7 linked regions of the Oryctolagus cuniculus genome follow. The protein of the gene in region 7 interacts with the protein of the main gene of each other region in a pairwise test. Links are inferred from orthologs where the notes say so. Each region holds a gene or a part of one and is shown on either strand. Other genes may lie near its edges. The genes, in order: CREB5, NCALD, HPCAL4, CDKN1A, PIH1D2, IL16 and SPRED1.

Evidence for each region.
Region 1: the proteins of SPRED1 (region 7) and CREB5 interact in binary tests that used the Homo sapiens proteins (3 or more experiments, as listed by UniProt). The link is inferred for Oryctolagus cuniculus from reciprocal best matches to the Homo sapiens genes SPRED1 and CREB5.
Region 2: the proteins of SPRED1 (region 7) and NCALD interact in binary tests that used the Homo sapiens proteins (3 or more experiments, as listed by UniProt). The link is inferred for Oryctolagus cuniculus from reciprocal best matches to the Homo sapiens genes SPRED1 and NCALD.
Region 3: the proteins of SPRED1 (region 7) and HPCAL4 interact in binary tests that used the Homo sapiens proteins (3 or more experiments, as listed by UniProt). The link is inferred for Oryctolagus cuniculus from reciprocal best matches to the Homo sapiens genes SPRED1 and HPCAL4.
Region 4: the proteins of SPRED1 (region 7) and CDKN1A interact in binary tests that used the Homo sapiens proteins (3 or more experiments, as listed by UniProt). The link is inferred for Oryctolagus cuniculus from reciprocal best matches to the Homo sapiens genes SPRED1 and CDKN1A.
Region 5: the proteins of SPRED1 (region 7) and PIH1D2 interact in binary tests that used the Homo sapiens proteins (3 or more experiments, as listed by UniProt). The link is inferred for Oryctolagus cuniculus from reciprocal best matches to the Homo sapiens genes SPRED1 and PIH1D2.
Region 6: the proteins of SPRED1 (region 7) and IL16 interact in binary tests that used the Homo sapiens proteins (3 or more experiments, as listed by UniProt). The link is inferred for Oryctolagus cuniculus from reciprocal best matches to the Homo sapiens genes SPRED1 and IL16.

The regions. Positions count from the first base shown.
Region 1 is NC_091447.1:19,973,494-19,977,914, forward strand, and holds the start of CREB5 (cyclic AMP-responsive element-binding protein 5), read left to right. Parts: upstream 1-1,558; 5' UTR 1,559-1,694; coding exon 1,695-1,697; intron 1,698-4,421. UniProt on the Homo sapiens protein: Binds to the cAMP response element and activates transcription.
Region 2 is NC_091437.1:127,452,293-127,456,742, reverse strand, and holds the start of NCALD (neurocalcin-delta), read left to right. Parts: upstream 1-1,357; 5' UTR 1,358-1,496; intron 1,497-4,450. UniProt on the Homo sapiens protein: May be involved in the calcium-dependent regulation of rhodopsin phosphorylation. Binds three calcium ions.
Region 3 is NC_091438.1:133,188,529-133,192,362, forward strand, and holds part of HPCAL4 (hippocalcin-like protein 4), read left to right. Parts: intron 1-1,760; coding exon 1,761-1,958; 3' UTR 1,959-1,964; exon of another isoform or gene 1,965-2,562; 3' UTR 2,563-3,834. UniProt on the Homo sapiens protein: May be involved in the calcium-dependent regulation of rhodopsin phosphorylation.
Region 4 is NC_091436.1:132,896,886-132,901,231, reverse strand, and holds the start of CDKN1A (cyclin-dependent kinase inhibitor 1), read left to right. Parts: upstream 1-1,445; 5' UTR 1,446-1,568; intron 1,569-2,768; exon of another isoform or gene 2,769-2,895; intron 2,896-4,346. UniProt on the Homo sapiens protein: Plays an important role in controlling cell cycle progression and DNA damage-induced G2 arrest. Involved in p53/TP53 mediated inhibition of cellular proliferation in response to DNA damage.
Region 5 is NC_091432.1:104,017,313-104,021,831, reverse strand, and holds the start of PIH1D2 (PIH1 domain-containing protein 2), read left to right. Parts: upstream 1-1,583; 5' UTR 1,584-1,707; exon of another isoform or gene 1,708-2,270; intron 2,271-3,302; 5' UTR 3,303-3,330; coding exon 3,331-3,504; intron 3,505-4,108; coding exon 4,109-4,232; intron 4,233-4,519.
Region 6 is NC_091443.1:103,877,098-103,880,931, reverse strand, and holds part of IL16 (pro-interleukin-16), read left to right. Parts: intron 1-1,716; coding exon 1,717-1,975; intron 1,976-2,208; coding exon 2,209-2,334; intron 2,335-3,834. UniProt on the Homo sapiens protein: Interleukin-16 stimulates a migratory response in CD4+ lymphocytes, monocytes, and eosinophils. Primes CD4+ T-cells for IL-2 and IL-15 responsiveness. Also induces T-lymphocyte expression of interleukin 2 receptor. Ligand for CD4.
Region 7 is NC_091443.1:61,319,302-61,323,840, forward strand, and holds the start of SPRED1 (sprouty-related, EVH1 domain-containing protein 1), read left to right. Parts: upstream 1-1,517; 5' UTR 1,518-1,619; coding exon 1,620-1,651; intron 1,652-4,539. UniProt on the Homo sapiens protein: Tyrosine kinase substrate that inhibits growth-factor-mediated activation of MAP kinase. Negatively regulates hematopoiesis of bone marrow.

The sequences.
Region 1 (4,421 bases), on a different chromosome or scaffold from region 7:
CACCGGGAGAGGCGCCCCGGGACGCTCTGGGTCCCGGGGTCACTCTGGAGAGCGCCGCCCCCGCCGCGAGCAGGGCGCCGGTCCCCGGCAGCACCCTGGGCGCCGAGCCGGGGAGGCCGGGACGCGGGGCTGGGGCTGCACCAAGTTTGGCTGAGAACAGCAAGATGAGCCCTTTCTTTTCCAAAGCGAGGCCGAGCGCGCCGTGGCGTGCAGAGGACCGCGCGACAAATCGCCGCGCGCGTTGCGAAGTTTGCGCGTTTAAAGCGGTGAACGCCCAAGTCTTGGAACGGAGAGTCAGTCTCCGTCTCTGGCAGCTGAGACAGGACCCCTGTGCGTGACTTGTTCGAGGGCTCCAAGTGAAAAGAACCTTCTGGGAGGGGGCGGGGACGTAGATGTGCAGCAAAAACTCACACACACACACACACACACACACAATTACCAAGAGGAATTAGGAGGGACGGGGAGAACGCGCTCTGATGTGGAGTCTGTGCAAACCAGCAGAAGCCGAGGTTGTCTTCTGCATCTGGGGCACCCTCCTGGTGACCCCGCGTTTCGTTAGCAGCCTTGATTCGCTTCTGAGCGAAAGCGGTGCTTGGGGGGGGGGGTAGGCGTGGGTGCGACTCCGGGCCGCGTTCTCACTCCTGTTCGTGGCGCCGTTTGTGACTGATGCTGGGACAGAGACGCAATCGTATGCCCCCCGCACAATACACGCGCGTCGAAAATGTTCAATTTCTTGTTTGTGATGCATAGAGCTAGAGGGAAAAACGGCCCGGGTCACAGGCACTGGAGGGTGTGATTAATGATCAGTGATTTAGTGATCAGTGATTAGTGGTTTTATTCAAACTGTTACCTCTGACCAGAAGCACACATCAGAGGATTAACAGGCTCTTTAGATGAATGCTCATTAGTGGAAGGGGAAAAGCAAAGATAATAGGCATGCACCCAGGGACAACTTTCGAAGAAAATCATTCCCTTCCTCAGAATAATAAGCTCTATTAACAGAAAGCCCTTTTAATTTAAAACTTGCTTTTATCTTGTAAATCAAAGTTAGATGTAAAAGTTTGTAGTGCCATTATAACCTAAACTTTCCCATATCCACTCGATGTGGATTATCTCCGTAGCGATATTTTTTTTTTATTTAAATAAACAATTGGACCTTTAGAGCGGCTGACATGCTCTGAGCTCCCGGGGTGCGAAGGTGTCCCCCCTCCCCCCCGCCCCCCGGCATGGAGATTGTTGCTTGCTAACTAGATGGCGCACTGCTATTTGGTGTTCTGCGCTGCACAGTGTAGGAGCCTCAACTGAGCGTGTAGCTGCTTGCGAGGTGCTCCGCGCCCACAAAGTTGCTTCTGTGCAAGGTTGGAGGCTAGACAGTTCTACAAGTTTGTAGTCACATTTTCCATGTCCGTTAAATCTAGGGAGTTCGAGGCTACTGGAAAAATTAGTCTCATTACTGAGAGTTAGAGAGCGAGGCAGGGAAGGAGGTCCCTCTAAGTGAGTGGTAGGAGTGATTGTAAAAACCCCAAACCTGCTCTGTCTACAGAGAGCTGGTTTCACAATCTTCTCCTCTGAAATACTGAGGCGGGTACTCAGACTGATTTTCTTCCCGATCTTGCTGGTGAGAAAGAGAAGTTGCTAGAAAGAAACTTGGAGACTGCAGGAAGCAACACGTGGCTGGTTTTCTTCTGCAGATAATGGTAAGGTGATGTTGATTACGCTTGGGAAGCTGCGAAAAAACTTTGCACTTGGTCCGATAGTCGCACTCTCGTTATTTTCACAGATTGCAGAAATGGAATTCTTATTTTGTGCAGAATTTTGATGTTGCTTTTGTCAGTTTCCTGGGACTTGTAGCATTTGGTGTGGTGTGTAAGGTTGTGCATGTGTGAATAAGAGAATTATTTATGGAGTAAAATATGTTCATGAGCATGTATGTGGACTACAATGGAGTGGCGGGGAGGCACCGTAAGTCATGTGTTAGGTAAGACTCCCTTTTTCGGGAGCTTTCATGAGTCACTTCCAAAAGTAATGAAGTTTTGATAAGAAAGGAGTGCTTTAAAAAGAAAACTAAAAAATCAACAAAAACAATGGAAGATATTTTCTACCTCCAAACCTAGACCCCTGTGATCCTGAGGAAGGATGCTTGACTGTGTATCAGCTCTTCCGTTAGTTTTAAGACTTAAAAACAAACAAAGGAACTCACTTGTGTCTCCCCATAAATTGACTTATTTTCCTTTGCTTTTCCATTTTATAAGGACTCATGACTTTAAAAATGCTTACTGAATCACATAGGTTTTGATTTTTCAGCTTTCCTTGGAGTAGACATGTTTGCTCCGTTGATAGTACCTCCATTTCAGCTGTTTTTGCATGTTAATTGCTGGTAGCTACAGATGGCTTGTCAATTGTAAGTCAGTTGTGCCTTTACAGGCTTGATACCTGAGTTTTCCTACAAAGCGGGAGAAACCAGGCCTTTATTTCTCCATCTCTGAGACTTTGCAGCTTCTCTTTGAAGAGGTGGTAGCTCCATGGTTCTGTCAGATCCCTTCTCTCCTGAGTTCTCACTGGGACTGACTTTCAGCAACCATTCCTCTCCATTCTGCAGTATTTCCTTAGCCAGGGAGGTATCTTCTTAGGAAGCAGAAAGTTATTCTGCTAGCATGTGATGTTTGCTTGCTGCATCGCCAACATGTGAACTTTGTCTTTAAGTTTTATCATTGGATTAAAATTGGGATGTGAGTGCACTTGCTCTTTTTGTCTTTTTTTTTTTTTTTTTTTTTTTTTTGTCTTCTTCACTTCAAAGCAATGCCGTTAGTCACAGAATTAATGTGATCATGGCTGGTGTTTCCCATCTATATGCTTCTTACAAATTGGATTTCTTCAGCAATTTAAGATCTTTTTTTAGAGGCAGCTTTCTTGGATGAAGATGGAACAATGATCTCAGTCAATTCATTATCTTGTCCAGTTTGACTACAGGAATCCACCAATGCTTCTATACATTAGTGTTTAAAGATTTAAATCTAGGACTATTTCTTTGAATTCTACTTTACAAAGTTATGCAATTGAGATAAGGTAATAAAGGGGGGGCAGTAGCTTCCAATATTAAATGTGAGAAATACGCATTTCCAGATATGTGGCACAGATTTAAAAAACCTTTTTGTGTTGCTATTTGTAAACCAAATAAGCGATCTATTTTGCGGCAGTGTTTTCAATAGGAAGTCTGGCACTTTAAAATGACATCATGGTTAATGTTTTCATGAAAGAGTTATTACATTTTGTAATTAGGAAAAAAAATGGGCAATTAGTGTTTTTTGAGCATCCATTAGTATTCCATTGTTGGGAATCACAAATCATGGATTTAACATAAGAAAATCTAAAACGAGACAGCAAGCTTTTAGAATGTGCAGTTCGTGGTAACGTGCTTCCAGAAACACGGGGAAAGTTCGTGCAGCCCTTACTGAGGCTTCTCTGGTTTTCAGAGAACATAGAGTTTAGGATAAATTTCTGAACATATATTACATTGACATTTTCATATTTCTTCCTCCATGTTCACTCTGGTTTCCCTTTTCTCATCTGAGAAATAGATCAGGATCAATTTATCACTTTAGAAATACATATTGCCACTTCTCCTATTTCCCTAAGGGTCACATTTCTAATCTCCACCCTGGAATGAGCGAGGAGTGAATGTTCCCCCCCTTGATGTTTGCCTTGCACTGGTCTTGGGGAGGGAGAAGGGGTCCTTTGGGCCTGGAGATCCTGCCAGTGAAATCAAAGGGCGGGGAGACCCTTCTGTCAATGCCACCTCTTCCCTTATAGAGAAGACCCCCAGGTTTGCGGGTGTCCCCTGGCTCACCCAAGGCACGCAGCTGGGGACCTTGCCTCCACGCTGGGCTCCGTTTTCAGGAGCCAAACTACCATGGTCGCCACGGTCACAAGTGGAGCTTAACCCATGGCTTTGAATGCTCTGCTCTTTTCATGTCTTTTGCAATCAACCTTTCAATGGCGCTTTTTTTTTTTTTAATCAGAACTTGTGAATGGATGCCTTGATCACATCATTGCAATTTCTATCCCACTTATGTATTAACTGCCACGTTACTTTTTCTAATGTAGTCCTCCCAAATTGACCATAACTTAATTTCTTTTTTTCTTTTTCTTCACTACTATTACTAAAATTGAAAATTATGCTGTCCAGATTTCCTCTGAGAGCAAAGCTAGTAGGACTAAAAATAAGCTGAAACCATCTCAGATGAAGGCAGGAATTTCATCATCTTTAAAAAAAGGATCTGAAAAATCATTTTCAAACCCAAGAAATACTTTTATGTTATAGAGCAACAAAAACTGTTTTCACTCTAGCAGGTGTGTTTTGCCCAGAACCAATCTGTCATATATTATCTTCCCGGGTCAGCATATATGAGAATGCTTGGAGG
Region 2 (4,450 bases), on a different chromosome or scaffold from region 7:
CCTGGAGAGAGGCATCAATACACCCAAGAGCACTCCGCCCCTACGTCCCAAACACGGGCCCCACCTCCCACCACCACTGCTGCGCTGAGGGATTAAGGTTCTGCCTGGGAGCTTTGGGGAGACCGCCTGCCTGGACCTTCCCATGCTTCCAAACTTCAGGTTCACGCTCCTAGTTCCTCCAGCTCTCTTGAGGACCGGCTCACCCCAGGGTGATTTCCAACTCTGGCTGCTCATCAGAATCTGCTGGGACCTAGGTAGAAGGCCCTCATTCATGCATGGCTGCAGCCCTGAACAGTGCAGCGAAATGAGAATCTCTGGGGATGAGACCCAGGCGTCATATTTAACACACACACACACCAAACAAAACCAACATCCCCAGGAGATTCAGTTGTGTGTCCAGGCAGGCAAAGCACCAGGCTCACCTGCTATGGCTTTCAGCTCTGATGATTCGGTCTAGTGACTTGTGAGATAATTGCTGTTTTCCAGTTGATGTCAGCCAGCAGAGGTAGGGAAGGGCAGTTTTGGGTAGATAAACCTTTTAGTTGACGCTCAGATTAGGGTTGGTGGCCGTTTGGACTCACCTGTCAATTCTACGACAGGTCCCATGAAAAGATTTTTGCAATCATTCTAAAAGCGTGGTCATGGTGCCTTTATAGCTGCCACTTCGTAAGTGGATGAAGATGAGTGGCCATGGAGTCCTTCTGAGGGTTCTGGAAATGTCTCTGGGGTCGAGGCGCACAGGTTGCAGTGGCTTTTTGAGAGGCTGAGCCTGGCAGACACCTAGGCCAGGAGCACGCGCTGGCCGCCTGCAGGCACTCAGTACACACTGGCGAAGAAACCGTGAAGACACTGGCTTCTCATCAGTCCCAGTCGAGGTGAAAAGTGCCACACTCCGCAGTGGGCAATGGGGACAGGGGAGCGGACCCCTCGGACGGGTGGTGAAACACTGGTTAGAGCAGAGCAGCCCCCTTCTAGCTTGCGGGCTTGGTGGTGCAGGGGACGGTGCGGAAGAGGCTTTTGCGTTGTGTTCCAAGATCACCTAGAACTTCACCGCGGGGTGTCAAGCCCCCTCCCCCCCAGTTTCCGAAGCTCCGAAGGGGATGCTCTAGGTTGACCGCCCCACGACCCCAGCAGGCAAGCCGATGGCACCCTTGGAAAGCACCGCTGCAGCCTGACCAAAAGCCTGGGCGGTGGGCTGCGATCAGGCGGCACATGCAGCATAAGCCGGTGGCTGCACCGTGGCACAGTGGGGAGTCCACGGCACCTGCGATCCCCGCGTCTCGGCTTGGCACCCCCTTGCAGCCCGGGGCGTGCCTCCTGCAGAGCCTCAGTGGGGAGGGGACGGCGGCGGACAGGAGGGAGGTGGCGAGCCGAGCTGGGGCTGGGGGCGCGGCTGGCGGCCGCGCTGTCCAGGGGGAGGCGGGCGGAGGGAAGGCGCTGCCGCTGCGGCCGCCGCCTCGCCCGCGGCGACACAGACGCCGGGAGCGGCGGACGCGGTGAGTCGCAGGGCTTCCCTCCGCCGCTCGGGAGCCCGAGCCGAGTCGGAGCTGCGGCCGGGGCGGGGGCACCGGGGGCGGCGGCGCGGGGAGCCGCTGCTGGGGTGGGATCCGCGCGCGCTCCCCGCGGGCGCAGGGGTGGGCGCTGGGAGCGCGCGGAGCTGGGAGCCCTCCCGGGTGCAGCTCACCCTGGCGAGTCCCGTGTCTGTCTGCTCACCCTCGAGTGCCTGGGAGGGAAAGCATAGCGCAACCAGAGCACCGGCCGCGGCACGGGCAGAGCAACTTTGCCGGGGCTCGCGGGGCAGGCGGGGCGGGGGCGCGTGGGGTCGGAAGGGGGCGTCGGTGAGCCCGGTGGTCCGCGGCCCTCCGAAGCATCCCTTCCGTGCGGCTGATGGGGGGTGTTGAGGGTCGTGGGCAGCCGCTGGATTCCGGGCTCGGCCCCGGGAAGCCGCGGGACGCAGGCGCGAGGGGTGGGCGTGTGGGGAGGGGGCTTTGGGAGCGGCCGACAGGCGCTGGCTGAACCCGGTGAAGGCAAAGATCTGCATTCGGGACTTGGGACCGGAAAGACCTGCGTCGGTGGCCCGGGGGGGCCTCGGCGAGGGTGTGCCGGCGAGATGTGTCGGAGTGTTTTGCAGTGCATACCGATGTATTTTTAGCTCCGAGAGAAGCAGGATGTGCAAAGTGGGTTGTATCCGCGCGGGAGGGGCAGGAGGTCTCCCTGCGCGCAGGAAATCGCACACAAGTTTCTTGCTGCCCGATGCCTGCTGGAACTTGGCGGCCGCCTGCGGGCCTCCGGGGCCGGCTCGGGGTCTTCCTGCGGGTGGGTGGGGAGTCCGCGGCCACGCGCGCGGCTGTCAGCCGCAGACGGAAGCGCGCGCTCCGATCGGTGCGGTGGCGGGCGAGTCTTGGCCGTCTGAGACGGACACCACGCGGGCTTGCTTTTAGGTTTTCCCAGTTCGGACTCATTGGAAAAATAACAGACCCAAGCCCCTGAGTTAGCGAGAGCGGGGCTCGCCGGCAGGGATGGTTCCGACCTCTCCGGCGCTCACCGGCCAGGCCCCCGGAGGGTTTCCCTCCGATGGGAAGGTGCCTGTGTTTTTATGGCGCGGGGCAGAGATGCCAGGACTACCAAGGGGGAGGGGAGGGGGCCGAGGACGGATGTGGGGAGGAGCCGCAGAGGAGGCGGCCCAGGAAACTGAAACGCAGGTGTTCAGGTACCCAAGCCAGGGCCCTGGACGTTCCTTGGAGGCTCCCCTGTGAGCCGCTCTGTGAAGACCTCTTGTCCATGCCCGTGGGGAGAGTCGCTAGGGTGGCCGCTGGGGATGTGGGCGCTGCTTGCGGGGAGCTGCCAGACCCCCTGGTGCTTCCTTCCTGACCCTCTTTTGTCTCCTGCTCTGTGGCGGGAGGTCCTGGAGAGGTGCCCGCCCCGCATCTCTGCCGCCCCAGGGGGTTGTGAGGATTAAACGAGTTAATACACCCGAAAGCACCAAACCTCATGCGCTGTCTTTAGAAGGTGCTGCCGCGGTGCCAGCGAGCGAGCCTTTCTTCTTACTATTTCCATTTTTACTTATCTGAAAGGCAGCGAGACAGGAACAAAGAGAGATCTTCTCTGTCAGCTGATTCCCTCCCCAAATGTCTGCAACAGCCAGGGCTGGGGTCAGGCTGCAGCCAGAAGCCCAGAACTCCATCTGGGTCAACCACATGGACAGCAGGAGATCAAGTACTGGAGGCACCGCCCGCTGCCTCCCAGGGCTCGCATTAGCAGGAAGCTGGAGTCAGAACCCGAGCTAGGGCTCAAAGGCAGACACTCCACGTGGGACGCATGCGTCTTAACACTGCACCAGATGCCTGCTCTCTTGATTGTTATCTTTGCTGCTGTCCTGTGTTCCTGTCCGGCCAGTTCCTGCTGTCAGCGGGCTGGTTCCTAGCCTCATCATCGCCTGCATTGCTGCCACTGCCTTCAACAGGCCTCGTGGCTCCCACGTCCTGGCCCCATCTATTGCATGACACTTGTTCTGAAAGCAAAATCCAGGCCTATCATGGCGCCTGGTTTCCTTTCCAGGTTTTTGGTGCCGATCCCGGGCTCGCCTCCTCCTCGGCCTCGCCTCCCGTTTCTCCCCACGGGGAGCCTCCTGCTCAAGCTGCAGACTCTCAGAACCTGTCGTCTCTTGGGCATCTCAGTTGCAGCAATGTCACCTTCCAGCAGATCCCCGGGCTTGCTCCTCCCCAGCCAGCTGAGTTGTCCCCAACCTCACATAGCCATGGTGTTTCACGCACAGCTCCCTGCATTGCCATCTGTCAATCGTCCAACCTGCATGTGCTTTGAGTGACGGCTTCTGTTGTGGGTAAATGTTTGTTGAGTGAATAAGTGATTATCAGTCAGAGTGTTCCATCGTTTTCACTAAAGCCAGAATCAAACATGAAGAATAATAGAGCAGGCAGTAAAGGAGGCGAGAAATACTCAGGGCTCAAGGGTTGGCCCGAAGAAATGAGGCTCCTCTCTTGGAGCTAATTCCGGGGTGGCCCTTTAACCGTGCGGGGCAGACTAAAACAATGGAGAATGTAGTGACTGGCACCTGCCTCTTTCCTTCCTTCCCTCATAAAAAGGCAGTGCAGCTTGGCTGGGGGCCGGGGGTGGAGCTGCAGCCCTTGAAGGGGTTTGTGCGGTGAACTTGGTGTGGAAGCGCTGGGCAAGGTCACAACACCCACAGGGCAAGTCACAGCAACACCCACAGGCTCCATAGCTCTTCCTTGGCTTGTCGCTTCCCCGAGCGTAGCTCTCAGCCGTGTCGCCAGGACAGCGAGCCTCTGTGGTCAGTGCTCCCCTGCTTCTTTTCAGGTCTTGGTGTGTGTTCCGCGGGTGCTTCTCTGGCCCGGGTGGTGTTTCCAAGCCGCTCCATGCCTGGGCTCCCAGGTGCTCTGCAGAGAGGATGAGAGGGTGCCCGGCACCCCCA
Region 3 (3,834 bases), on a different chromosome or scaffold from region 7:
GAGAGAGAGAGATCTGCCATCTGCTGGTTCATTCCCCAAATACCAAAGCCAGGAGCTGGGAACTCCATCCGGGTCTCCCACATGAGCCTAACTACTTGAGCTGTTGTCTGCTGCCTCCAGGAATACACACTACCAGGAAGCTGAAATCAGGAATGCATCCAGGACTCTAACCCAGGCACTCCAATGTGGGAAGCAGGGGTCCCAAGGGGAATCATAGCTGCTGTGCTGAGTGCCCACCCTCTAGTGAGAAATTTACCATCAATAAGCCTATGCCATTTCAGCCAGTCAGTGCTAGGGAGGAGATAAGCTTAATCCTCCGCCTAGCGGCGCCGGCACACCGGGTTCTAGTCCCGGTCGGGGCGCCGGATTCTGTCCCGGTTGTCCCTCTTCCAAGCCAGCCCTCTGCTGTGGCCCGGGAGTGCAGTGGAGGATGGCCCAGGTGCTTGGGCCCTGCACCCCATGGGAGACCAGGAAAAGCACCTGGCTCCTGGCTCCTGCCATCGGATCAGCGCGGTGCGCCGGCCGCAGCGCGCCGGCCGTAGCGCGCCGGCCGCGGCGGCCATTGGAGGGTGAACCAACGGCAAAGGAAGACCTTTCTCTCTGTCTCTCTCTCTCACTGTCCACTCTGCCTGTCAAAAATAAAAAAATAAAAAAATAAAATTAAAAAAGGAGATAAGCCATGCAAAAGAAAGAGAATGGTGCAGAAGTTATTCTACATAAGGTGAAAAGAGTGTAGAGCAGCTGACCCCTGCGTGGGGTGGGGGGAGGGCCTTCTGTGATGAGGGGCCAACAGACTTAGGGTGGACTGTGTTTGTATTGTGCAGAGAGGGGCTGGGAGGCCAAGGTGGTTGGAGAGAAGTGAGTGAGGGGACAGCGATAGGAAAGGTGAGGAGATGGGGAGCCAGGAACCCAATCTCTGTGCATCTTGTGGACCAGGTGGAGACTTTGAATTTGTTCCGAGTGACGTGGGGAGCTCTTCAGTGATGGCTCTAGATGATGGGGGAGGGGAAGGGAGAGAGCAGCAGAAGCAGAATGACCAGTTAGGAGATGTCCAGATAGTCAGTCACGAGCTGGTGGGGGGCTACAATCTCAGAGGTATAGTGGAAACAGTAGGAAGTGGTTGGTTTGGAATCCATTGAAAAATTAGAGCCAGCAAGATTTGCTGAATGGTTGCATGTAGAGTGTGATGGGGAGCAGAGTCAAGAATTGTATCCGGGCTGGTGCTGTGGCGTAGCGGGTAAAGCTATTGCCTGCAGAGCCGGCATCCCATATAGGTGCCGATTCGACTGTCCTGGGTGCTTCACTCTCCACTTCCGATCCAGCTCCCTGCTGATGCACCTGGGGAAGCAGTAGAAGATGGCCAAAGTGCTTGGGCCCCTGCACCCATGTGGGAGACCCAGAAGAAGCCAGGGCACAGCCAGGCCAAAACCAGGAGCTGGGAATTCAATCCAGGTCTCCCTCATGGGTGACAAGGACCCAAGTACTTGAGCAGTTACCTTCTAAGGCACGCATAAGCAGAAAGCTGGGATCAGGAGCAAGACTGGGACTCACACTCAGACACTGCCATGTGGGAAGCAGGCATTGCCAGCAGGGTTTTACTTGCTAGGCTGAATGCCAGTCCCAGATATCCAGCCTTAATTACCGCCCGGTATCCTCACCTTCCCCCAGTGCTCTCCCCGCCCTGCCCTGCTCCCTCTCATTCACCTCCCAATCCTCAACACCCCTTGTGGGCACACCCACCTCTCTCCTCACCCCACCAGGCTATCTACAAGATGGTGGGCACTGTGATCATGATGCGCATGAACCAGGACGGGCTCACACCCCAGCAGCGCGTGGACAAGATCTTCAAGAAGATGGACCAGGATAAGGACGACCAGATTACCCTGGAGGAGTTCAAGGAGGCAGCCAAGAGCGACCCGTCCATTGTGCTGCTGCTGCAGTGCGACATGCAGAAGTAGAGGCTGGTGAGGGGCAGGGCCCCTGGCCGTGGGGGGCATGGCCGCCTCCCTACCTGATGACCTCTCTGGCTGGTCCTTACCCTGGGGGAGGGGCACTCCAGCCTCACTCTCTGGCCCACTCCCTCCTCTCTGCCCAAGCCCTCCTTCCCCTCAGTCAAAAGATCCTTGGGGGCCCACGTCGCCGTGCTAAAAAGCAGACAGGGCCTCAGGTGTCCTGTCATTTATCCCCACCCCCCAGCCTTGGCCCAGAACCAACATCCCTTGGGCAAGGGGGCTTGGCTTTTGCCCCAAGAGGCAGGGTTAGGGAGGGGGACTGGGGTCCTGCTTTGAGATTCTGCTGTTCCTGGGATATGCTTTGTAGAATGTGGTCTCGCAGGCCCCACTCCAAGAGTCAGATTGGGTGTGTCCTTTCCTGGGGACCCAGAACCCTCGATGGTGGTCTGTGTCCTGCTCTCTCAATGCTGCCTGGCCCCTCTGGCCCCAGCCTTTGGAGCAGCTCTTCAGTTCTTTCTTCAGCTAAAGTTTCTTGAGCACTTGCTCAGTGCCAGGCACCTCCAGGTGCTAAGGATAATGGCAGTTTACCTGACGCAGTCCTGGCCCCCAGGAGGCTCCAGAGGTGGACTTCCGGTGATCAGAGTCTCCCGCAGCGATGGTGGGATGGCGAGCACAGCAGAGCCGAGGGCATGCAGAGGCTGGCGAGTTTGAGAGGAACTTCAAATCTTCCAGCTCAGCTCCACACAAAGCTGCAAAAGAGGGCCAGAAAAGTGTTGGCAAGTTCAGGAGAAATCTGAGTGGACATTTTAAGAAAAATGAAAATTTACATAATAGTTATTTTTTTATTACCCTTTAAAAGAGCTAAAGTCATTTTATGAGTTTAGGATGTTAAAATATACTCTATATTATTTGGTTTCTTATAAAATGATTAAATAAATGTAGAAAATTATAATCGTGGGGGGAAACCTGAGAAAACAGAAGGAAATACTATCAAACTCACCAGAAAATGCTTTCTCTTGTCAGGCAAAGCCCTGAGCTGTCACCATCAGCAGCTTTGTGCTGCTTCTGCTTCCTTTTTATCACCTTTGCCAAGTCCACAAGGGACCCTCTATCACACACTTACTCTGGTCGGGTGCTGACTTCAGGAACAGGAAAAGCAAGGTTTGCCAAGAGTGAGACAAATGCGTGGCCCGGGTCTCGGTGCTTCACTTCTGGGTTTGGTTGCATTTCAGGAATGAGCTTGTTCTTTCACTACTACAGATGCAGAAAGAGGTAGAGGTCAAGGACCACCTAGGCACCGGTCAAGGCTCCCAGGCTGCATTTATGGACCAAATACCTAAAAATGGGCTGGGCATGCTCCATTTGAAAGGCTTTTTCTAACCCCCATCCTACATCTGCCAGGTAACTCATCATCTTCCAAATGTGCTGGCTTCGCTTTCCAGTTTTGCATCCGTGAGCCATACATCTGCATGCTTTGACTGCCAGAAAAAGTCATTTTGCCTCTTCAGCAAGTCTTTCACTTCACTTTCTCCTGTACTTGTGATCAGAAATTAGCTTTGATGTGCCGTGACAGTTGACTTTCTCTTGAACTGCGGGTGAAAACACACAGGTGCTGGCAGCCCAGGGTGGGAGGAAGGAGTGATTGCTGACGTGGGGTACAGGGAGGCAGGGACTGCATCTGCGGGAGAGAGACTCAGTGTACTCCTCACTACTGAGTGCTCACCAGTCCTGCTTCTCTGCAGGTGGAAAGTCTTGGGGATGCTGCATTGGACCTTGAGGTACCAAGACCACTAGGTTGCCACTCTTTCTGTCCTGCTTGTGTCACCAACATGGTGACACTGGGGAGTTGACACCCTCAGACAGTAGCTAGCAGGTATTTATC
Region 4 (4,346 bases), on a different chromosome or scaffold from region 7:
CAGAGATTCCCAGACACTGCACAGCCTGCGGTGTCAGCAGTTACAGCCGCTCCAAGCCTGGATTCTGCCTTCTACTGGCATTTCTGCTCACACAAACACTCCATTCTTTGCAGTTTCCAGACAGCAAAACTGCAAACGGGACAGGTGAAGGCAGGAGGCGAAGGTGAAGGAGGAGGAGGTTTCGTGTCCGGCAAGAAGCGCCAGTGGACACTTCCGGATGCCCCTATCAAAGGCTCCTCAGTGAGCTGCTTGGAAGTGATGGCCAGCGGACCTTTCCCTCATCCTGGGCCACAGAAACACACGGGGACCACAGTGTGGTCCCGGCAGGAGGCAAAAGGCCAGCATTGCCACCAGAGCCAGCTTGGGGGCGGGGGGAGGTCTAGCCCCAGAACTGGGTGAGCGGTGGGGGCTGCTCTAGTGAACTCACCAAATTTGCTCTGGGGAGGGGGAGGCGGCTGTAGTGGGGTGCAGATTGGCTCAGGGTCTGACTTCTCCCTTTCTTCTGGAGGTCAGCTTGACCCTTTCTGAAGAGTCCCCGATGCCTCCTTCCCTGGTGCATTTGATAAACAGCAAATGTGCCTACTTCATTTTCTACAAAAGCAATTTACTTATGTTTATTTGAAAAACAAAGGAAGATTGACAGAGAGATCTCCCATTCCCTGGTTCATTCCCCAAAGACCTGCACCAGCTGGGATTGGGTCAGGTTGAAGCCAGGAACCAGGAACCCCATGTGGGTCTCCCATGGGGCCGGCAGGGACCCAGGTCCTTCAGCCATCACCTGCTGCCTCCCAGGGCCTGCATTAATTATCTGGAAGCTGGGATTGGAAGCAGAGCTGGGACTGGAACCCTGACATTGCACCCAGGTGGGATGTGGCCATCCCCAAGAGAGTCTTAACCACCTGTGCCAAGGGCCCACCACAACATTGCAGGTTCTGCGGGCCTCGGTTCGCTCCTCTGTGAAATGACGGGGTGTACGCCTGGCACAGGTGCTTCTGGGAGGGGGCTCAGCGGGAATATAGTGGGGGCGTTTCTGAACATTGCCAAGACAGGCACATCATTTTTACTATTTATAATTTTTTAAAAAAATTAATGTCATCCCTTCTGATCTGTTTTCTGCACCAGGGAAATCCTTGTCCAGAGTCGGCTAGCACGGGGGCAGAAAGGGGCCTCATCCTGTCGCCCCTGCCTCTCCCTGGCAGTGCCAACCGCCCCCCTGCCCCGACTTAAAAAATTCAGACTTGCGGCTCAGTTCGCGAGGAAACGAACGCAGGCGCCGGCCGTGGGAGGAGGGCGCGCCCGCCCGCAGCACGCGAGGCTCCCGGGCCGGCAGTCCCGTTGGAGCTCGGCCAGGCTTCCTCAAGGACCAGCGCGCGCGCGGGTACCGCCCGGCCCCGGCTGCGAGGTGGGCCGAGCACCGGGGCCCGCCTCGAGAGGCGGGCCGGGGCGGGGCGGCGGCTATATCAGGGCCTGGCCGAGCGGCGCCCGCCGAGGTGTGGGCAGCCGCAGAGCCAGTCCTCGGAGAGCCAGAGGCGGGCGCCGAGTCACGAAGACACCGAGACACAGAGAAGGTGAGGCTGCGGCAGCCGAGCCCCGGCGGCAGCTCGGAGCGGAGCCCGGCGTGTCCGCGTGTGGCTGTCGCGGGGACCCGCGGCCGCCGAGCGCGGCGTGTTCACAGATGGTTCCGTGGCAGGTGGACGACTGCGTGGGTCCGGGCGCGCTCGCAGGGGCGCGCGTGCCGGGGGGCGGGACGCGCCGGGGACTCCGGGTGGACAGCGGAGCCAGAGCACCAGGGATCCCCGCCCGCGCGCGGCTCCCCTCGAAACCCAGCTGGGGCGAGGGGAGGCGTGGATGTAGCAGCCCGGGAGCTCGCTCGCGTCGTGGGGACGAAGCCACTGGCTCCAGGAGGGGCGGGGGACGCAGAGTGGCACCAGTTTATTTGGGGTCGGTGCTGGGGCGGGTCTCGGATGCTGGTTCCCGAGTCCAGTGCCCCTTCATTGCCGCGCCCGCCAGCCGGCGGGGCTCTGAGGTCAGCGCCGGCTGTGTCCCTGGCCCTCGGGAACTTGCCAGGACACGTCCCCTGAGGACGAGGGAGGCGGTGACTCACTGTGACAAGGAGACCCCGGGGCATGGACCCAAGCTCCGTCCCCCGCCCCGCCGCAGACTCAGTCCCCCCCAGTCGGCACAGTGACCTGTTTGGCCGGCACGGCATGTTCCCAGGGAAGCCGGGACACTCAGAGGTCCAGGAGCGGGTGTCCGGTCCCCACTCCGCGGCGCACCATCGGGAACCTGGAGGGGGACGGGCCGTCGCAGGGGTTCCACCCACGGCTTCCCCGCCGCGACTTGGAGGACCCCGGCCCAGCCTGCCCTTGGGCCCGGCCCTGGAGCCCCGGGCGAGAGCGGAGCTCGGTACCGCCGAGCAGTGGGACGCGCCGCCCCCAAGCTCGGGGCCAGGGGACCGTCAGGAGGGGTCGCATCGCGGCCGGGTGGGGCTTCTGGGGGCGGGGGGCGCGGCTGCCTTGCGCGCGGGCGGGGCGCCCGACCTGGGCTGAGCGCAGCAGGGGGTGGGGGTGCGCTCAGGCACGGGCTCGGGCAGCGGCCCCTCGCGCGCCCCCCGCCGCGGGCGCTCCGAGACCCTGCGGCCGGACCGGGCCCTCGGGGGCGCCGAGACTCCTTCCTCCCAGGTTCCCGCCCTCCACGTCGCGGTTCGGGGAGGACTTTCGAGCGGTTTTGTTTTCTTTGCGGCCGTCTATTTTTATTTTCCAGGGATCTGACTCATCCCGTGCTTTGGGCGTGGAGATAAGGTGGAGGGGCCAGGTCCCGGCGCGCCTGTGCATGCGCAGGGGCCGCGCGCGTCTCCGAGTCCGCCGCCCCGGAGTGTCCGTGCGCGCGCGTGGGGTCTGTGTCTCTCAATGTGCCTACCCGTGCGTCTGCGGCTGTGTCGGTCTCTGCGTGTCTACCTGTCGGCGCGCCCCTGCGTGTGTGTGTGTGTGTGTGTGTGTGTGTGTGTGTGTGTGAGTCGAGTGTGCGGACGGCTCAGCGTGACGTGTTTGCGGCGCGGGCCCCTCCTGCCCTCCCCGCCTCGGGTGACGCGAGGCCGGAGTGGAAGCGAAGTCCCGGCGGGCGGGAGCGCGGGGCAGGAAACTGACTCATCACGGCCGCTCCCGGCGCCCGGGCCCTGCCCACGCACCGCCCTCCGACGCGGAGTACCCTGGGGCCCGGCGCCCCCTGCCGGCCCCGGCGCGAAGGGCCAGCCAGCCCCGCGAGCCCGGGGCGCCGCTCGCAGCCTCCCCCCACCACCCAGGCAGCGCCCCACGGCCGTGGGCTCTACAGCACTTACTGAGCCCCTACGATTCACTGGCCAGCTGGGGGCTGAAGCCTGAGGCATCCCCGGGGAGGTTCCCCTCGGTGGCCTGGGGAGGAGAGACCCAGGAGAGGACAGCGCTGGTGGGAGGGGGCGGTCCCGCCCCCCGCCCTCGCCCATGGGGCACCCACGCAGCGTCCTTGTCAGACCCACCAGTGTGTTCCCCTCTTGGCTGGCACCTCAAGAGGGCCTAGCTGGGTGACGGTGCCAAACACCGACTTAAATCCCCTTCTGTTTGAACTGAGTCGCTCGGGTGGGGATAGGGGGTCGATGCAGATTTCTAAAAAGTGCCCCCCAACCGTGGGGATTCTGGTGGGCCTCAGAACTGGGGAAGGGGGCCAGGAACCCAGGATGACCGCTTGCGGGCCTCGATTCAGTGACTACCCCAGCCTTGGTCCCCACTTCTCTGTAAAGGAGCTCATTCAAATCCAGTTTTTTGGAGGATGGCTGTGCCCTGGAGAGGGTGGACAGCGGTTACCGGAGCCCTTTGCGGCTGCTGCCCTGTGGGACCTGTTTGGGGGGCAGTGGCCTTTTGCCTTTCTAGCTGTGCGGTTTGGGATGCAAGTCTCATCTCGTAAAGCAGCTGCCCTTTGAACTTGGCCTGAGGTCACTGGGTGACTTTCCTCTCCAGCCAGCTGCATGGTGGAGCTAGGGGCTGTGCTCAGGGTGGGAGGGGCCGTGGGGTAGGTGTGGCAGGTGTGGCTTCAGCAGAGCTGTCCCCCCCAGAGCCTGTGAATCTGGTCCTGTCCCCAGGAAAAGCTGGAGTCAGGCCAGAGCAGGGCGCCCTCGCGAGCAGACTCCCCCTCACTTTTCCGGAGTGGGAGGTGTGCAGCCTGGGTGGACCAGCCATCTTTCATGTCCATTGCCCACAAAACGGGTTTCTTGGAGGCAGGCAGGGCTGTGAAGGGTCCAGACTTTGGCTCACCTGGTGTGCCTGGCAGGATGTGGCTCAGCCGGGGGAGAGACCGCCACCCCGCCCCACCTT
Region 5 (4,519 bases), on a different chromosome or scaffold from region 7:
AAAGCTCATGGAAAATTGAATTAAAAGGTATGTCTACTTTGGTAGAAAAAGTATTTGAAATCAATATAGTTTTTTTTTTTACAATATACATTCTTCATGAACTCTTTAAAGAACCCCTCATATGCATGGATTTCTCTCTCTTTTTTTGGCAACAAAGTAAACTTAGCTTTTAATTCCATCTTCCACTAACTTTCTGAAGTACTTTCATATAAAATGGCACAGTACTTGCATATAACCTATGACATCTCCTGTAGGCTTTAGAGCATCTCTAGATTTCTTCTAATACCTAATACAACATAAACGCCATGGAAATCATTATCATGCTATACTGTTTAGGGAATAATGAGAATAAAAGTCAGTACAGACAATTTTCCCCCCCAAATATTTTCATCCTGCTGTTCCTTGAATCCGAGAATGCAGAAACCGGTACCAAAGGCCAAATGTATAATATCTCCATTCTTATCTTCTAGATGAAGCTCCCTTCAAGTTCTAACTTGCCTCATGCAAACGACTATATATCAATGTCCAGATCAGATGTCAAATCTGGAACCCCAAAGTTTGCAATGAAGTAACACCCAGATTCGATAGCGTCAGAAACTACCCGTCTACAATTACAGAAACTGATGCCTTTTAGGCATGAAATGCAAGATGACCGAAATTTCTCCATTCGGGGCATCGTCAATCCTATTTTGTACAGAAGTTTCCTAAAACTAGATTAACAAGAATATTCACGTGTGTGGTCACCAGGGGTTTTGTGCGACCACCCCAACGCTCACTCACCCCTCGATCCTGAGGTAATCAGGCATCTTGTTAGTGTGAGACGAAGAACCACTCCATTACAAGATCTCCATCGACCCAGGAAGCCAAGGAGTCAGGGCTCAAAGGCAGCTCTGCAGCTTCACCCGAGTCCTTCGTGAAAACGGAGCCTTCCCACCGGTTACTCTGCCCTCACCCGTGGCCCAGGCCACGGCTGCCTCGCCCCAGCCCAGCCCGACAGGCAGATGTTTCTCCTGGCTGAGGCCGGAGGCTGCGCCGGCGCGGAACCCGGACCGCCCGGTTGACCGGGGCATCGCCCGCTGACGCTCCGCTGGAACGGACACCGGGGGTTGGGTTTCACTCCCCAGGAAAGAAGGGGGACGTTTTGGAGTGGTACGACCTTCCGTTGGGCCCCAGGAAGTGTCTACGGTGCCTGACGGGGCCTTTGGGGTTTCCAGGTAGAAGACAGAGAAAACACCCCCATCTTTGTCACCGGGATCCCTGTCCCCCAGCGGCCTTGGAGCTCCCGGTGACTCTCCCTATAAACTCCCTCCCCACACAAATACACACAAACACACCCATACCGTGCGCCGCAGCCTCGCGTGGCGGGGGTGGGGGGGAGGAGGCGGTCTGGGAGAAAAAGGAGGGGGCTTCCCTTTCAGGCCGGAAGCCGTGCTTGGGAGAAATTCTTCCCACCAACGGGAGCGGCGGCGACTCCCGCTGGGGAATTTCCTGGGCAGTCTAGGGGCCGACCCCTGCAGAAGGGAAGCAGGCCCTTTCTTGGAAGTCAAGTGAGTCCGGCTCAGCTAAAAAGTAAGCCGGACCTCAGAAGGGGAGATTCCGGAACTAGATGTAAACACTTTCCGCCTGGAGCTTCCCGGACCCAATTAGGTGTTGTACCCAGTCCGGTTACCCGGGAAACAAGTGTCGCGATTTGGGAACCGAGAAGAGGTGGGTTTGCGGACCTTAGGAATGATTGCCCGTTAATTGCATTTCCTATTTAGTCTAACACTAAGATAGTACTGGAAGACTCTAAACCTCTTGGGCTCTTTTCAGGGATGTTGTGGGACACCTCTCTGACGGGGGGTGGGGGGGTGGGGGGTGGGCGGGGCGAGGAGGGTCATCCCAAGACCTAGAGGAGTTACTCATAGGTCATCCAAGTGTTCCAGCTTCTCCGTAAAGTGGTTCTCACAATGACCCAAAGGAGAGAAGTATTCCTTCTTTAAGAGAAGAAAAAGAAGAAGAAGAAAAAAAACACCTGAGGCACTTTCGTACATTAATTACTGGAAGTCACACTGCTTGTAGGAGAGAGCTGAGATTGGAACCCGGGCCTTCTCTATCCACTAAAGGACTGAAATTCTGTGGTACTCACCCCTACACAATTCTGGCGATTTCACGTTTGAGGATGCACCATTCAGCCAATACTCAGGGTGTAGGAACAAGGCGATCACCAAGAAATCCAGACTTAAAGTGACTGCTTTGTTCCCTTGGGGTTTTTGACGGTCCAAGTGGAGGTAAGGCCCTATCTGAGAGGACAACTGGAGCACTTTGTAAAGGCTACTAACCAATGACAGAATAAGGAAAACATTTGGGGCTTGCCTGTTAAGTTGCTGTCTGCGATGCCGGCATCCCATATGAACACTGGTTAGAGTTCAGTCCCGGCTGTGGCACTTCCTATCCAGCTCAGACCCAGATAGAGTTCCAGGCTCCTGCCTTCTGTCTGGCCCAGACCGGGCTATTGGGGCCATTTGGGGAGTGAACCAGTTGATAGATCTCTCAGCTGCCTTTCAAATAAAATAAATTACAAAACAAAACAAAACAAAACACGGGGCCAGCACTGTGCCTAGCATCTTAAAGCCCCAGCCTGCAGCGGGAACGGGTTTGAGTCCCAGCTGCTTCACTTCCAATCCAGCTCCTTTGCTAATGTACCTGGGAAAGCAGATGACTCTGCACCCACGTGGGAGACCCCAAAGAAGCTCCAGGCTCCTGGCTTTAGATGTGCTCAGCTCCAGCATTTGTGGCCATTTGGGGGAGTGAACAAGTGGATGGAAGACCTCTCTAACTCTTAAATAAGTCTTTAAAAAAAAATACGTAGGGCCATTGCTGTGGCGTAGCGGGTTAAAGCCCTGGCCTGAAGTGCCAGCATCCCATATGGGCGCCGGTTCTAGTCCGCGCTGCTCCTCTTCCAATCCAGCTCTGCTGTGGCCTGGGAAAGTCCTTGGGCCCCTACACCTGTGTGGGAGATCTGGAAGAAGCTCCTGGCTCCCGGCTTCTGATCAGCGCAGCTCCAGCCATTGCAGCCATCTAGGGAGTGAACCAGCAGATGGAAGACCTATATCCCTCTATAGCTCTCTCTGTAACTCTTTCAAATAAATAAATCCTTTAAAAATAAACAAATAGGTAAAAAATAAAGTGTTGATAATACACTGTTTTAAAACAGGTGGAAAGGAAAGCTGATGGTTTCTTAAAAACAATTTTTAACGAGGAAGAGGAAAATAATCAAATTACACAGACTTTTTGTCCCTTAAGTCATTGTCTTTCCACAGGCTTGAGAGGCCTCTCTTGCCATCAATCATGACATCATCAGAGGGTCTGCTCACCCAGCTTACACAATTCTGGAACCTTCTTGATGATCTTGCTGAAAGTGATCCTGAGCGCTATAATAAATTCATCCAACAGGAGCTGCGGGAGGGGCAGCGGCTGTGTGCTGGACCAGAACCAAAGCTCTGTCTACAAACCAGGATTCTGGTATGTAAAGTTAGTGCCAGGGATGAGGAAGTCTTGAGTAAAATGGTTGGAATAATAGGAGAATACTTTACCCATTAGCTGTAGCTACTTCAATGCAAGGACATTTGAAGGAAATCATCTCTCTAAATAAAAAATGAAACATAATGTGGAATATTTTGCTGAAGAGTAAGAATTGGAAATTCATTCATGATATATTTTGGACATCATTCATGAAGTATTTTGGACGTCTCAAAATTAGATACTTTTTCCTGCTAGAATAAAAAGAAAAGGTAATAGAGTGATTTAGTAGAGAATCATGGAGTTGGGTGCTTTTTCAGATAAAGGAATTATTTGGTTGGCAAGGTAGGAAATGGTAAAATAGGGACAAATGCACCTGGAACAACTGCTTGGGTCAGTTCTCCCTGAGGACCACTTCCTCTAGGAGCAGCAGTTGGGTTCCTGATGAAAAGTCAGCAGCTTTGGGGAATCAGGTAGCTATAATTTCTCACAGTTTTAAAATGTGGAATGACTAAAATCCCTCTTCTGAGTTGCTTTTAGGATACTGTCTTTAAATTAAAAAAAAAACAACTAAGTTTTGACATATGCAAAATTATCTGCTTTCTAGAAACCAAAAGAAAAATTACTTTTTATCAATCTATGTCAGTGGGAAAGGATCCCAGCTCCCCAGTCAACCACTCATCCAGTACCACTACGTCTTGGCCGACCAGAAGACGTCTCTGAAACATCAGGTACAATGAATTAAGGGAGAAAAGGCACATTTAAAATATTTTATTGCAAATAAGCATTTCAGGTAAAATATTTTATTTCATGGAAATATGATGACAAATTAGTGCACCTTTATGCAAATTTAATATTGTTCATTTTTTCTAATATGAACTATTTTAACCCATATAAAAATGCCAATGAATCCCTTTATTAGACTTCTGTATATAGCACCACTGTGATTACCTCTGAAAAATACAGAAATAGAATTTATATTCCAGTTTTATCAGGAATATGGTTTAATCTACTCCCT
Region 6 (3,834 bases), about 43 Mb from region 7:
TGTTGCCACCCCATGGCTGTGCCGTCTTGGTGAACCCTCTGCAGGGCCTGTGCTGGGCTCATCGCAATTTCCCTACACAGCGGCAGACAAAGCCTCCGGTTCACAGCATTGGCTGGCATTAAAGCCACCAAGGAGTGGGCATGGCGGTGCAGCGGGTTAAATCACCACTTGGGATGGCGGCCTATATCGGAATGCCTGGTTTGGGTCCTGGCTATTCCTCTTCCAACCCAGATTCCTGCTAATGCAGTCTGGGAGGCAGCCGATAATGACCCAAGTGCTTGGGTTCCTACGGCCCGTGTAAGAGACCTGGATGGAGTTCCAGGCTCCTGGCTTTGGCCTGGCCCAGCCCTGGCTGTTGCATGCATTTGGGGAGTGAACCAGTGAATGAAGGCTTGCTCGCTTGCTCTCTCTCTCTCTCTCCTCTCTTCTCCTCTCCTCTCTCTCTGTAGAACTCTGATTTTCCAGTAAATTAAAATAAATAAACATTAAAAAAGAAAGCCCCCATCCCCCCTGGTAATGGTAACTTAGCACATTTCTGGTAGTCAGTCCAGAGCAAACACACACCAGCAGGAGCTCCCTTATTTCTGGGTCAGCTTCTCTACTGCACAAGAGACTGTGAGTGCAGAAGAACCATTTCTGTTGCTGAGTGCATAGCTGGGTGTGACAGAAGGGCTCCTGGCTGGGCGCTTCCCCTCTGCTCACAGAGAACACGGTCTGCTGGTGGGACCCACACTCCGGGTCTTCTTCTCTACCCATGGGCAGTGACGTCTCCACCCCAGGTGGGGGGGGGGTGCCCTCCCCTGAGACACTGCAGCTGCTGGGCCCCGGAGCCAGGAGGAAGTGACACTTGGCGGCCAAGCACACGCACACACAGGACTTCCGCTTTCTCTTTCTCTTCCTTTCCAGACTCATTAAAGGAGACTTAGGTGGCGCCCCCTGCAGGCCTGGAGAAGCTTCCCCCACGTTAGGTGGAGGCATCCATAGTGCCTGCACTGCTTCTAAGAGCAGGCACCGGGATGCAGGCGCGGGGCTTCCAGCCTGGGCCTCCTCGCCACCTCTCAGAGCTTTCCTAACACCGAAGCCATTCAGAGAGAGCAAGATCCTTGTTCAGGTCATGGCAGGGAGCAGAATGACCCAGAGCACATTCTGGAACCTGCCCATGCGTCCTGTCGTTCAGCCCTCTGAATGGCAGGGACCCGGCTTGGACAAGGTCTAGACGCCCTAAGCAGGTGTCTCTCAAAACGCATTCTGCGGAAGCCGGGGCCCGAGCATTTCCCTGGGAACCCCCGTCCTGTGCGGCCTGTCCCTGGGGCTCCGACGTGGCCAGTTGCCTGGCAGAACTGGACATTTTCAGAGCTTTGGTTTAACCCTGCGTCCTGCGGGTTTCTGGTTTTAGAAACCGGTTCTCACACACCACCTACCAATACACCACTGAATGGAGATGTCAAGAAGACTGCTTTGGGAAGGGCTGGTGGGGGAAAGTAAGGCAAAGGAAACCAGATGGGAAGCCAGCGGAGACACCCGCAGGCATGGGAGGGAGAGGATCCTGGGCTCTGGGTGGAGGAGGGGAAGGGATGCTGGCCCCGGAGCCTGCAGTGCTGACCCAGGACGGCGTCAGGTGCTGTGTGCCCTCTGGGGCTGACCGGCTCAGGTCTCCCTCCTCCTGCAGTCTGGCCTGGCTGGTTGCTGGGCCCTGAGCGCTCCTGCTCTGCTTAGGTTCACAGAGTGTTTCCAAACGGGCTAGCCTCCCAGGAAGGCACCATTCAGAAGGGCAATGAGGTTCTTTCCATCAACGGCAAGTCCCTCAAGGGGACCACGCACAACGACGCCCTGGCCATCCTCCGCCAAGCGCGAGACCCACGGCAAGCAGTGATTGTCACAAGGAGGCCGGCTCCGGAGGCCTCGCCTGGCCTGAGCCCCTCCAGTGACTCTGCGGCAGCACCCTCTGCAGCCAGCGATGTCCCTGCAGAATCCGGTGAGTTCTCCCAACTCAGCAGGTACGGGGGATGGGAGGATGCGTCAGAGGCAGTCCTGGGGGCTGCCCGGTCCTCTGTGGCCCTGGCGACATGTGTCCCACCTCAACTGTGGCCACGATGCATGCCACTGCTTGCCTAGGGGCCCAGGACGGCAGGCAGCATCCCCCAGGCTCGGTGCCATGGCCCTGGGAGAGAGGGGCGGGTCTCTAACCAAGCCCTGTGGTTTCCCCAGCAACGGAGGCTGCCATCTGCACCGTGACCTTGGAGAAGACCTCAGCAGGGCTGGGCTTCAGCCTGGAAGGTGGGAGGGGCTCGCTGCGTGGAGACAAGCCCATCACCATCAACCGGATCTTCAAAGGTGCGCGTCTGGCTCGAGCTGTGGCCATGGGAACAGGTCCCAGAGTGGCCTGGGTGGTCTCTCCACCACCTCCACCCAATGTGAGAGGCGAATGGGCCTATTGAGTGAGGGCCAATTCTGCCTTTTCACACTTTCCTCCTTTGCTCGGGTACCCTCTGAACCCCTCTGCTTTGTGGGGTCCTCCTAGTGACTGAGCCCTGGGCTTGGTTCAGCTCAGCAGGGCTGGGACTGGAGTGAGGCAGGCACGAGAAAAGCGGAAGTGGGTTTCAAAGCGCACAGAAGTCGAGATCAGTACAATTTCGAGGCAACATTTTTTTTAAAAGGATTTATTTTTATTTGAAAGGCAGATTGAGAGAGAGAGAGAGAGAGAGAGAGAGAAATATCTTCCATCCACTCATTTATTCCCCCAAATGGCTGCAATGGCCAAAGCCAGGAGCCAGAAACTCCATGTGGGTGCCAGGGCCAAGTGCTTGGCCCTCTTCTGCTGCCTTCCCAGGAGCATTTGCAGGGAGCAGAGCAGCTGGGATTCGGGTTGGGATGCTGGCATGGCAGGCAGTGGCTTAACCCACTGGGCCATCACGCCAGCCCCTCGAGTCAATATTTTAAAAACTCAAAAATGAATTTTTAAAGTCCATAGTGAACAAAATATTTAGGTAGAGTCAGCCTTCCTTGGTCCTGGATTGGCCTTCACTGAAAATGTTGACACTTTGTTCACGATTGGGGTGCAAACCAGTGCCTTTCCCCTGGAAATCATGTGCCACCTGCAGCCATTGTGGGAAACCGCCCCTCCCCCGACCCCTGGCTGCTCCTCAGGCTGGAAGCCCCCAAGGCCCATGCAAGGGGTTGTGGACACAGGGACACTGGGTGGGGAGTCCAGGGGTCAGGGGCCAGGCCCCTGCTGTTGTCTCTAACAGGCTCAGTGACCTTAGCACTCCAGGCCCAAGGCTCCTCAACCAAAACAAGGGGCCAAGGGGCACGGGTGCAGCTGGTGGCTCTCAAAACTGGGACCCAAAAGGGCCTCCTGCTCCCTGTGCCCCACAAGCTCTGGCACAGGACCGGGTTTGTTGTTGGAGGAACCGTCTTTGACATGGAGGCCCAGAGGGAAGCCTGGGGTGGATACAGTGGTTCCCCTAGAACCCATGTCCCCAGTGGAAGATAGTTCTGATTTTGAAGTTGGGTTTGGAATGATCTTGTTAGTTCCAAAGTCAGAAGACCTGGACTGCAGCTGATTCTGCCATCGTTGGCACCATGACCTTGGGTTAAGTCTCAACAGCATCCTGGGCCCATTTGCTTAGATGGGGAAGCCCCCACCTGCTGCAGGTGGTGTGGTACCAAGAGATGGCCTCAGGGAACAGGAAGGCTGAGTTCACACCCAGGCCCTGCCACCTAGCACGGAGATGAGCGATGGAGGTTGTTGGTGCAGAACACGGCACAACGCCCGCGATAACAACCGCCCAAGACACCCGCGCCGCAAGTCCTGACTGCCATCACCTTATACTC
Region 7 (4,539 bases):
AGTCCCTGCCGGTAAAACCCCCCACTAACTAAAGATGAACTCTTGCCAGCTCCATTCTTTGCAAGGAAGGCGCACACACACACACACACACACACACAGAAGAGGGCCCTCTAGAATTTCCTCCCGGAACACACTATCTTTCCAGTCCGCTCGATCCAGCCACCCGGAGAGTGCAAGCCGAGTAACGGGGAGCAAGCAGCGCGCTGCAACAATGCGCCCTCGCTCGCAGCTCCCCTCGCGGCTCCCACCCCCGCCCCCTCCGCGGCGTGCCAAGAGTTTGGAGCGCGCGCACGCACACTGAGCGCGGCGCATGGCGTATCCCTCCGCCTCCCTCCTCCTCCTCCTCCTCCTCCTCCTCCTCTCCCCGCCCGAGCGGCTCGACAACGATTTGGGAAATGAAGGGAGGAGGGGACTACTTTCCTGAAACTTGCTATGCTGCACACGACTTCGAGTTGCAGTGATTCGCCCGCAGGCCGCAGCTTCTCAGTCCTCCCCTCCACACCTCCTCAGAGCCCAGGCTGCCCAGCTCGGCAGCCCCGCCCTGCGCCTGCTCTAGCCCCGCGGGAAGCCAGCGACCGGGAGAAGTCGCGAGGGACTACTTCGCCTCCTTCTCCCGCGGGCGCCCCCGGTTCGGGCAGCGGCGGCGGCGGCGGCGGCGGCGGAAGGAGCGGGCGGCGTGAGCGCTTCCGCCGCCCCCCTCGCGGCTCCCCTCTAGCGGGCGTGAGGTGCTGGCCCGCGGAGCCGCCGGTGGGCACGGGCTGGCGGGGGACCTGCGGCTGCTCCGCTCCCCTCCCGCTGCTCCTTGGCGCCTTGTCCCCCTTCCTCCCCGGCGCCCGCCCGCCGGCTCGCTCCTCTCTGGCCCGGGTGGGAGCCACCGGCCCGCCTGCCCCTCGCCTCCCGCTCCCCGCCACCCCTCCTCCCCCTCAGGAGGAGTCCCGGCTGGAGCGTGTCTGGAGGAATCCGCCGCCGTGGGGCCCCTCGCCCGTTTCTGTGCGTGCCTGATCAGCAGCGACCCAGGCGCCGCCGGGGTCTGAGCGGCAGCCCAGAGCGGCGAGGCGGGAGATGGTGGGGTGGGCTCCGGCGGGACCGCGCCGCCGCCCGCAGCCTGGGCTCGGTACTCCCCCGCCGGCCCCCACCGGGCGCAGCTCTTCTTCCTCCTCGCCGCATCCCTGAGGGAAGCGCCGCCTCTGCTCCCGGCTTCTCCGCCCGCCCGCCCGCTCCTTCCTGGCCGGACCCCGCGGCGCTCCACCCCGGCGGCCGGAGGAGCAGCTCTCCAGTCAGCCTTTGCAGTCCCCTTACCTTCTTTTTTTTTTTTTTTTCCCCCACCCCTACCTCCCCTCCCCTGGCCGCCTCGGATCCTTCGGCTGGGCGCTGAGGCAGGGGAAGAGGCTGGGGTCGCCACGGAGAAGGTTGCTGCCGCCACCCCCCTGCGGGGGTGGCCGGGGTTCCCGGCTGGGGGGGCACCGTTCCGGGTGAGGCATCCACCATGGTGAGGCCCCTGAGCCGCTGCGCCCGCGCCCCCCCGGCCGCCGCTGCCTCCTGCCCCTCGGTGCTGCTGCTGCTGCCCCCCTGCCTGCTGTTGCTCCTCCATCTCCAGATCGGATCGCGTTGAGGGAAAGATGAGCGAGGAGACGGCGACTTCTGACAACGAGTAAGCGCCTCATTGATCTTGATTGCTAATCCCCCACTCCCCAGTCATTCGTCTGCACTGCCCCAGACCCCTCGAGACTCGGGCGCCCGAAAGCCTGCGCCCCTGGAGAGTTCGGTGCGTCTGCTTCTGGATGTAACTGATTTCTTGAGCCATTTTATTTCATGGCAGCAGCCCTCCGCTCTCCCTGCGTTAACTTGCTTTCTGTCGGGGAAGGGGATTCAGATTCAGTGTTGGGTTGGGATGGCAGTTGTACATCCCTGAGATGGAGTAAGCGGACGGATCGGGACAGTAGCAGTGACCCCTCCGCCTGGGAGACCCTTGGCCTGTCCTCTTTCGTTTTATCGTCAGCCAACATATCTTGAATATATCCATCGTGCTTCCTGTCTGGCTATTTCACTGGGAAACTGATGTGTGGGAGCACCTCCTGTAGCAAACTGCTCTTGAATCTTAATTCGATGAGTCAATGACTCTTAAATACCTATTAAGCCTTCACCCCACCCCCACTCCCCCTTTTAAACTTGTGACCTGTGAGATTCCTGTAAAAAAATGGGGTTAGGGAAACATTTTTGGACTTTAATAGGATTAAGGACTCCTGGGGTGTGGGGGATGTCGAGCTGTTATGTTTACTTTTGGGAATATTGGACGTGTCTTCATCAAGAACATTGAAGAATTTGGAGTTCTAATTTTTGTCCTTGGGTTGTGTTAAAATACTCCGGTTTCCGTTAATTGAACAGAATTTTACGTTGCTTAACATGTTGGTGACTTCATCAACTTCTAGAGCATTCTGGCTTAAGTTTTGCTTATTTTGGGATGTCCCCATGTTTTCCAAACTATTTGCCTTTTTAAACATTTGACTTTAACGTAACAGCTGCCTGGAGGAATAATGGTGTTGGGCACGGTTTTCTATGGAGAAGGGTTTTAATTCCGTGCAGGATGTTAGCATCCGTTTCCTTGTCATTCAGTTTAAGTTTTGTTTGTCTTTGGCGGGTTGGAAAGAGTTAAGTGAGTTCGGACTAGCCTTTAGGATGCATTCCTCTAAATAAAGTGCATTCCTCAAGTCAGACCTTTTTGAGAAAAAGCTTTAAAAGTCCAATGCCGAGGTCTGTCGTACATGCCAAGTAGCGTCTACCCCCAACCCCCAACCCCCAACCCGCTTTAAGAGCACAAGCTTCTGATGTGCGGGTGTAGAAGGAGGTAGATTGCTGCAGTGTCAGTGCAGCCTAGAAGCAGAAGTGGCCGCCATGTTCTCTCGCTTTTTGTGAATCGCCCTCATTTGCATAGCACAGTCTTCATTCATAAAAAAAATAATTAAACATCTATCACCTTGGACATCTTGAAAGAATTTCCCAAGGAAAAATTCGAAGCTTGTTTGTCTGTCTTCGTGTAGCTGTTTGAGTTCAGGAAATAAGGAGAATTTGAAGTTTCAGATTAAATTTAAAAAACATACGCACACATAAACAACTACCCCTGTTCTCAGAATGTTGACACGGTTATGTGGGAAATATCAGTTCGGGGAGGTGCTGGGATCACGTGATCGCCTCCATTCATAAAATACCTGGCTGTCCATTCACAGTGCAGTACACTGTCTCACTGCCTTCCGCAGATTAGACTTACTTTGAGGGAGATCAAGAAGTCTATCTAAGATAATACTTGGTTAAGAGAAAAGCTGCTGAAAATACTGAACGCAATGACAGTAACTTTTATTAATCTTGCATGCAAGTAGCTCAATTCAAAAATGTTAAGTTTTATTTTACAGATGAGAAGGGATTTATCAGTTTAGTTCCAAGTGTTGAATATTTCTTGTGGCTTCAGATAATTGGACAGCAAATGATGGAATGTGAATTGACACAGGTGCTAAAATATGGTTACTAAATGAGTCCTTTTCTTGTACTGGGCATGGGTGTATTGAGAGTGCATAAGTTTTTTATGTGGTGATATCAGTGGATGCTACTGCTATTATACTAAAATGAGAAGATATTACCACTGAATTAATCTCCAAGATGTTGATGTTTGAAACACCAAATGGTAATTTTCACTGGGAGGATTGCTCTTTTTTTTTTTTTTTTAATTTTAAATGTATTTAGTATGTGATAACTTGGAAAATAACTCACCCAGATATTTACAGATCTGGTTTTACAAATTTATTCTGCTTTACTAGTAAATTATTACTTAGCTTTGTAGTACTATTAATTTCGGTAAGATAAGAATAATAGTTTTAAGTGTATAATAATTTATATACAGTATTAACTCTTTATAGAACAAAATCTTGCAGGTTTTACTTAGGAAAAAAACTTTTATTTTAGAAAATGGTGTGCTCTTTTGGTAATCAGTTTGGCCGGAGCTGACATTGTGTGCTTGTGTATTGGCTAAACCACAAAGAATGAACTTCTTTGGAATGAAGCTTTTAATCTGATAATTTATGTGTCTTTACTATATGAAATGTCTTGAAGTGCAAATTTATTATTTATAATATACATTATGAAGAAACAAAAGAGATATTATGGCAGAAACCCTAAAGGCTTTTGTATAGTTAGAATTGCCTTGAAGTAGGATTTTATTTGGGCCTTACACGTATTTTTTGTTTTTTTTTCTTCTGTCTCTTTAAGCCACTGTTTATAGGGATTTAATTACAGTAGAGTCTGTTATTAACACTCTTCAATGTTTCTTCTTTTCCACCTGATTCAACCTTTAAAACAAGTGTAAATCACCAATTTCTTGGAAACTGTTAACCTTTTCCAGAGTTATGATAAAATCTAGTAAGGCCTTTACAGACTATTTGAAATTAGAGGAATAGATAACGCCTAGAGGTTGATTGTATATATTTAATGAAGAATTAGCAGAGGATCTATTAATATGAAAGGCTTTGTTTTAAATTTTGCCAAACTAAG